Linked DNA regions of Cricetulus griseus. The protein of the gene in region 1 purifies or fractionates together with the protein of each later gene. This does not show direct contact. Links are inferred from orthologs where the notes say so. Each region holds a gene or a part of one and is shown in the gene's direction. Other genes may lie near its edges. The genes, in order: Copb1 and Copg2.

Region 1 (3,822 bases):
TCGGAAAAATGTGTAGATCCTCCAAACTGGAGTTAGAGGTGGTTGTAAGCCATGATGAGGATGCTAGTAATTCCTCAAGCATGTGTCTTCTGCAAGAGTAACAAGTGCTCTAAACCATCAAGCCATCTCTCCAGTCCCAAGAACTCTTTTGATAGCTGTCTCATAATTAGACCCCATTGACAATATTTTTCTTATGATAGCCATAGGATTACGTCTTCTCTTTGTCCTCTCTTCTTTCAAATATTTGATTTGTTTATTTTTAATTTATTTTATATGTATTAGTGTTTTGTCTTCAGAGATCAGAAGAGGGTGTCAGACTCAAACCCAGCTCCTCTGGAAGAGCAGCCAGTGCTCCTAACTGCTAAGCCATTTGTCCAGCTCTGATTTTATGATAGAAACAATTATGGTAGCATTGTACTTATTCTGTACTTCTATCTGCCTTTGAATTTTAGACCCAGAAGATTTTTTTTTTTGGCTTTCCTCCCTCATTTCTTTTTTTTTCTCTTTATTATTATTATTATTATTATTATTACTATTACTATTATTATTATTATTATTAATTCAAGTTAGGGAACAGGCTTGTTTCACATGTAATTCCCCTCTCCCTCTCCCTCCCCTCACCCCCATTCCTTCTCCCCCAGACCCAGAAGATTTTTAATACCATTAATTTCCCAGTATTCATAATACTTAAAATTATAGATTTCTTTTCATAAAATATCAAAAAAAATTTGTTCTGTTTGTTTTCTTGAGACAGGGTTTTTCTGTGTAGTCCTGTCTTATAACTCTTTGTAGACCAGGCTGGCATCGAACTCAGAGATCCGCCTGCCTCTGCCTCCCAAGTGCTGGGATTAAAGGCATGTGCCACCACCACCTAGTTCCATAAAATATTTTATAGTGAATAATTTTTATCCTTGGTTAAACTTCCTTTTTATTATAAATAATATATCCTAAATTCTAATCGGTGGCTACTGATTCAACATTTTAGTTTTTATTCAGTTGTTCAGATGGACAAGAAAAGAAAGTGTCTAAAGTTACATGAATATTGAGGACCCTTTTAAAAATTTTAATAAAGGTCACTCTGTTCATGCTACCCTTTTTAAAAAATGGCTATAACTGAGAAAATGCACATAAAATGTGTTATTTTGAGTTTAAAGGATTTACTTTGGTTTTTTTGTTTTTTGGTATTGGTGGGGGACACATCTGTTAAAGTCATGTGGTTTAGCAATATAGGTTCAGGAACCACATTAACTAAATTGGTCAGGGACCAGAAGACTAATCTAGTACCCTCAAATCCTGTGTAAGGCATCTGAGATTCAGAGACAAAATATTCAAACATTTCATTTGGATTTGTAACCTTATTACCAAAGCTGATAGTAAATTTAGTTTGTTTTGCTCATAGCCTTTTTAAACTATCCGAGGAACTTGGTTTTGAAATAATTATGCTTTTTTTGTTTTTTTAAATGATTGAATCAGAGAAAGGTGATGTGAAGTCCAAGACTGAAGCTTTGAAGAAAGTAATCATTATGATTCTGAATGGTGAGAAGCTCCCTGGACTCCTGATGACTATCATCCGTTTTGTGCTGCCACTCCAGGATCACACCATCAAAAAGTTGCTTCTTGTGTTCTGGGAAATTGTTCCTAAAACAACTCCAGATGGAAGACTTTTACATGAGATGATTCTTGTGTGTGATGCGTATAGAAAAGTAAGCCAAATCATAACTGTGCTTTGTTATTTTTGTAGTTATAAAATTGCTCTAATAGATACTTTTTTAGCTTTCAAAAATGAGATCTTTGATGTGATGAGAAATTGTAAATATTTATTATTGAAGTGTGTTCAGCCTATGGCAATAGGTTTAGGCTGCATGAGGTGGGGATAGCTGTGAATGCTGCTCAACATAAAAACCTAACATGCTATTTGATTCTTTTTGGTGGATTTAGGGCTGGGGGTTTTATTTGGTTTTATTTTTCTTGGTTTTTATTTTTCTCAATAGTTAACATAACTATTGAGTTAGTCTCAGTATGAACTTTTAGATGACAGTTTTATTGTAATGTTAAAAGATTGGATACACCTGTAAAATTTATGATAAACATTTTGTATTGTTGCCTTTTCCTATATTTTCTGTGTTATTAAAAAAAATGGTGAAATACATAAAAATGACTTTAGAGGAATCAGAAGAAAACCAGTAATCTAGATCTTTTCCCTAAAAGTAACTTTAATTTTTTCAAATTAGAAAGTATTATGTTTAAATCTTGATTTTTATAAAAGGCTGACTCTTAGGCTTATGAGATGGCTCATCAAGTAAAGTACTTGCTGCCAAGCCTGATAACCCAAGTGTGGTCCCCAGGACCCACAAGGTGCAAGGAGAGAATGTATTCTTGCAAGTTGTCCTTTGACCTCTGCAGAGTTTTCAAATACACACACACACACACACACACACACACACACACACACACACACACACACACACACAAATAAATAATTAAATGTAAGGGTTTTTAAAGCTGAAACTCAATGTTTCCTACTGTAATTTTTATATCAGGATCTTCAGCATCCTAATGAGTTTATTCGAGGATCAACTCTTCGTTTCCTTTGCAAATTGAAGGAAGCAGAATTGTTAGAACCTTTAATGCCCGCTATCCGTGCTTGTTTAGAACATCGTCACAGCTATGTTAGGAGAAACGCTGTTCTAGCAATCTACACTATCTACAGGTAAGGAAAGATATTCCTTTGCTTTATTTCTATTTTAAATGCTTTAGACTAGAGGTTCCAGCGTGGTTGGTTGCAGAATGTATGTACTTGTAAATGATGCATGGTTAGGGTGTTCCCTACAGTGACCATCATTCCTAATTGTGTTGTTGCAGTTCATTTAGTTCATATATCTTTACTTGCTAAAGGCATTGCATTTTTTTACCTTGTTTTAAAATTCTAATTTTGAACAGTATGGGTCTTGTATTAGAAGCTTTGAGGAAGGAACTCTTTTAATGAAAAAGGCTGCAGTTCTTAACTAATTCTTGTTATTATAACAGTTGAAAATTTAGTCTGGACGAGTGGTGCAGGGAGCCTGAGTCAGGAGGATGAGAGTCTGAGGCCAGTCTGGGCAACTTAATGAGTCTCTACAAATAGAAAAGGTTGGGGACATGCCTCAGTGAGTGAGTGTTTATTTAGCAGGAACAAGGCCTTGAAACAGTCATTAGAGTAAAATAATAAAGCTGGAGATTTTGAACTTTAAAACAATTGTAAGATTCAGAGGAGGCTAAAGTGCTAAATTGTTATAGTCATGGCTCTCAGTCCGTGTAAGTTATGGGGCTGGTGGTAGAGCTCAGAAGCAGAGTCCTTGCCTAGAATGAGTGAGGGTGGTCCTGGGTTGGATTCCTAGTACTGCCAGTTTAACATACAGTATATATCATATATTTTGTGTCTGTGCATGTGTGTGCACCTGCATGTTTGTATAAGCATCTATGTATGTTCAGGCTAGAGAACTACATTAGGTACTGTTTCTCAGGCACCATCAACCTTTAACTTTGACACAAGGTCTCTCAGTGGCTAAGAACTCACCACATAGTCTAGGCTGGCTCACCAGAGAGCCGCAGATATCTTTTTGTTAGTCATGTTCTCAGAGTACACATCATCAAGCCTGACTTTTTTTCCTCCCTCGCTCCCTTCCTCCCTTTGTGTGTTAACACCTTGGCTATCCTGGAACTCCCTTTGTGGACCTAGCTGGCTTCAAACTCACAGAACTCTGCCTTCCTTTGCCTCATAGAGTGCTGAGATTAAAGGCATTTGCCATCACGCCCAGCTTAGGGTTTTATTTGTTTGTGGGT
Region 2 (3,822 bases), on another chromosome or scaffold:
TTTATGGTGATTCACATATTAGCTGACTCCTTTAGGCAGTTGCATGGTTTTAATCTTTGAATGAAATTCCATTTCTAGGGAAACGTATATTCATGGAGGTATTTTCTAATTTGGTAATAGCAGTTCCTATGAAATAATATGTATTTTTTAAAGTATAAAAGGGTCCAAAAGAATATTGCTTATCTCTAGTTCTTCTTAGGTTCCCTCTTACATGATTCTCTCCAGTTTTGTTTTCTTCTGCTTTTCTTGTTCCCATATAGCTAAAATATTTGATTTTCTGAGAGATGCTTGCATTTTGTTGACTTTTTTAATGTTCTGCTCCCATGTTTCCATGAAAAAAATAAGGCAGCTTATAAGTGTATAAGGCAGTTTTATATAGTAATCTTTAATTTGATTACTTGGGCTAGAGCAGTGCTTCTCAACCTTCCTAATGCTCTGACCCTTTAATACAGTTCCTCATGTGGTGGTGAGCCCCAACCATAAAATTATTTTCATTGTTACTTCATAACTGTAATTTTGCTAGTTATGAATTGTAATGTAAATATTTGTGTTTTCCAATGGTCTTAGGTGACCTCTGTGAAAGCGTTGTTTGAGATCTTTTAGTAATACAATTAATGACATTGCTTAAATTTAGGATTTTAACTCTCTTGGGTTTTACCTGAAAGTAACAATAAGAAAATGTCCCAAGATGAAAAGTTTTTCTTAATCATTCTTAATCATTCTTAATACTTGAAGCTGTTTGTTATAATCTTTTGATACATGTTTCTCTTCCTTCAGAAAGCTTTGATAAGAGGTTATAATGCTGAGCTTTTCCTATTTATAGGTCTGACAGTCTCTATACCAGGGATGGAAAAGGCCTTGCACCAGTATACACTAGAGCCTTCAGAAAAACCCTTTGACTTGAAGTCCATTCCTCTCGCTATGGCTCCTGTCTTTGAACAGAAGTCAGGTAACATAACTGTTTAACTCTGTTAGTTTTTCTGTGTGTAAGTAATTTATAAAAAACAAAACAAAACAAAAAAGAAACCTAGAAAAAGCTTTTAAAAATAGCATAGTTTCTCTCTTTCATTTTTTAAATTTTTGCTTGTTTGTTTTTTGAGACAGGATCTCTCTACATAGTAGCCCTTCCCTGAAATTCACTGTATAGTCCAGGCTAGTCTCAAACTCACAGAGATCCAACTGCCTTTGCTTTCCAAGTGCTGGGATTTAAGGTGTGCACAATTGGTGATCTTTTAGTACTAAGATGAAATTGTTTAAATTTAGAATTTTGAGACCCTTGGCGTTTTACCTAAAAGCAAGAATAAGAAAATGTCCCAAGATGAAAAGGTTTTTTTTGTTTGTTTGTTTGTTTTAAGTTATTTAATACAAAATGTCACACTACTTGAATCTGTTTGCCACTGTGTATCTGGTAAAAGTTACTGCCTTCATCTCCTTCTGTGGAGAGAAACTCACTTGATTGCTTACATCTGTCTTTGTAGAAATCACGCTTGTGACTTCTAAGCCAGAGAAGTTGGCTCCTTCCAGACAAGATATTTTCCAAGGTATGTTTTTATGAGTACAAGTAATAATCTTTATAATCCCTAGGTATTATGAATTAATAACATCTACTACCTTTATTCAATTTGATTAATTCTCAGTTCAGTAAATTTCTCATGTCATAGGTTATAGTGGCTGGAATTACCTGGTGTCCATGGACTTTTCAGTGACTAATTTACTACCTGGAAGTGTTGTTCTTGTGCATATTTTGTGGTTAAGAGGGAAAGAAATTAGCAATTTAGTTTGTCCCCTCCCCCTACGTATAGAAACCTAGTCTATAAACTTGATAACTTAAAGGCTTATTTCACAGAAGTTTAGAGACCACTGGTTGAGTGTTCAGTTATTAGTAAGGCCATAGAAATGAAATTGTCTTTCTGCTCTGTGGTAACTAAAGCATTTTAATAAAGTCCCTTCCTGTCTTCCTCATACTGTGCTTCTACTTTTCTTTCTCTTTGTGCTTAATAGAACAGTTGGCTGCCATTCCTGAGTTTATGAGTCTGGGGCCCTTGTTCAAGTCTTCTGAGCCTGTTCAGCTCACGGAGGCAGAGACAGAGTACTTCGTGCGATGTATCAAGCACGTGTTTACTGACCACATTGTGTTCCAGGTGAGAGAAAGAACTCTTGGTTCTTCCTATGTCTTTATATATAAGCTGGTATACTCGAGTCAAATAGCACTTTCCTTTAGTTTATGATTCTAGTTCCTTTCATAAAGGGTTAATTTAGTAGTAGTTCTAGTTTTTTGTTTGTTTGTTTGTTTTTTGTTTTTCTGTTTTTTCCCAGAAGTATAGAGGTTTCTTCTGATGATGGGCTATTCTTGATAACTATAATTTAAAAGAATATAAAATTGAATGTCTCAAGAAATGAACAATATGTAATTCAACTATTTTAAAAATCAGCATTTAAACAAGGTAAACTAAGTGGGTTGTTCAAAGAACTTAGATTTGAGAGTCGTCAGATTTCTAACACTCTGTAGTGACAGTATCAGGGAGAGAAACAGGGTGGTCCAACACTAGTCTGTGTTTCAAAGAGGCAGTCTAAGGGGAGGTATGAGGCCTGGGTTCAATCCCTAATACCAAAAGAAGAAAATAAAATCTTAGGAGATTTACAGTGTTATTTATAGTGTTGAATACAGTAGATTCCAGAACTGAATTGTGGACTATGAGTGAGAGAAACAACTCACTGGAAAGTATTTCTTAATCTTTACAACTTTTCTGTTGCTAACTTTTCAGTTTGACTGTACCAACACTCTGAATGACCAGCTGCTGGAGAAGGTAACGGTGCAGATGGAACCGTCCGACTCCTATGAAGTACTGTGCTACGTCCCAGCCCCCAGCCTCCCTTACAATCAGCCGGGGATGTGCTACACACTTGTTCGCTTGCCGGATGAGGATCCTACAGCAGGTACTGACTTCAGAAGGGAGAAGATACTTTGTGGTCTAAAAACCAGCTCTGGAGCTCTTAGAATGTCTAGCCAAGTATTGAACATTCAAGAATATGGTTCTTTCCAGAACTTAATGTTGTGCGGGTAGGGTATGTTTATAAAATTGGTTACTATTGTAGAAATACTACTTTCAAAACTAAATCTGTGAGAAAAACTTGCTAATGATAATGGTAAAAGAGAAACTGAATGTATTTAGTGACAGCCTCAAAAAGAATTCAGGGGTTATTTTTTTTGGGGGGGGGGTTGTTGTTTTGTTTTCATTTTTCATTTTACATACCAACCACAGTTCCCCCTCCCGCCCCTCTTCCCACTCTCCCTCTCCCTCACTCCAGCCTGTCCACGATCTACTCAGAAAGGGTAAGGCCTCCCATTGGGAATCAATAAAACCTAGCACATTCAATTGAAGCAGAACCAAGCCCCTTGCATTGAGGCTGAGGAAGGCATCGACCATATGGGAGGACTCCAAAAAGCCAGCGTGAACTCAGGGTTTCTATTGAAACAATGTAACCATGAGTGAAGGTTCTAATACCTGATATTTCTTTCCAGGGTTCCTGGGAAAACTTGGCTATTTAGCAGATTGGTTGGCATTTCAATACATTATTTTAACCATCTTGTAGTGTAAGACTGTGGTCTACAATGTTTCAGCTTAGTAAGTAATTTAGTTGACCATTTTGTGTCCATATTGAGAAATGCTTTATCATTTGCTTGACCTATGTTCAGTCTTGGTGGGGAGGTAGTATAAGGGGTCTAAAAGAGAGCCAACTGCTACTGTGAGATGTTTATAATTTGAGGATTTAGAATGGTCTTGACATTCTAAATCTAAATGGTCTTTTAAAAATGTTGGA

What was found.
Region 2: the proteins of Copb1 (region 1) and Copg2 purify together in Homo sapiens (affinity purification with western blotting; 4 studies listed by BioGRID and IntAct, with this or other methods). This does not show direct contact. The link is inferred for Cricetulus griseus from reciprocal best matches to the Homo sapiens genes COPB1 and COPG2.

The regions. Positions count from the first base shown.
Region 1 is NC_048596.1:86,412,559-86,416,380, forward strand, and holds part of Copb1 (coatomer subunit beta), read left to right. Parts: intron 1-1,473; coding exon 1,474-1,703; intron 1,704-2,540; coding exon 2,541-2,710; intron 2,711-3,822. UniProt on the Homo sapiens protein: The coatomer is a cytosolic protein complex that binds to dilysine motifs and reversibly associates with Golgi non-clathrin-coated vesicles, which further mediate biosynthetic protein transport from the ER, via the Golgi up to the trans Golgi network.
Region 2 is NW_023276806.1:197,046,576-197,050,397, forward strand, and holds part of Copg2 (coatomer subunit gamma-2), read left to right. Parts: intron 1-823; coding exon 824-949; intron 950-1,478; coding exon 1,479-1,541; intron 1,542-2,001; coding exon 2,002-2,141; intron 2,142-2,765; coding exon 2,766-2,937; intron 2,938-3,822. UniProt on the Homo sapiens protein: The coatomer is a cytosolic protein complex that binds to dilysine motifs and reversibly associates with Golgi non-clathrin-coated vesicles, which further mediate biosynthetic protein transport from the ER, via the Golgi up to the trans Golgi network.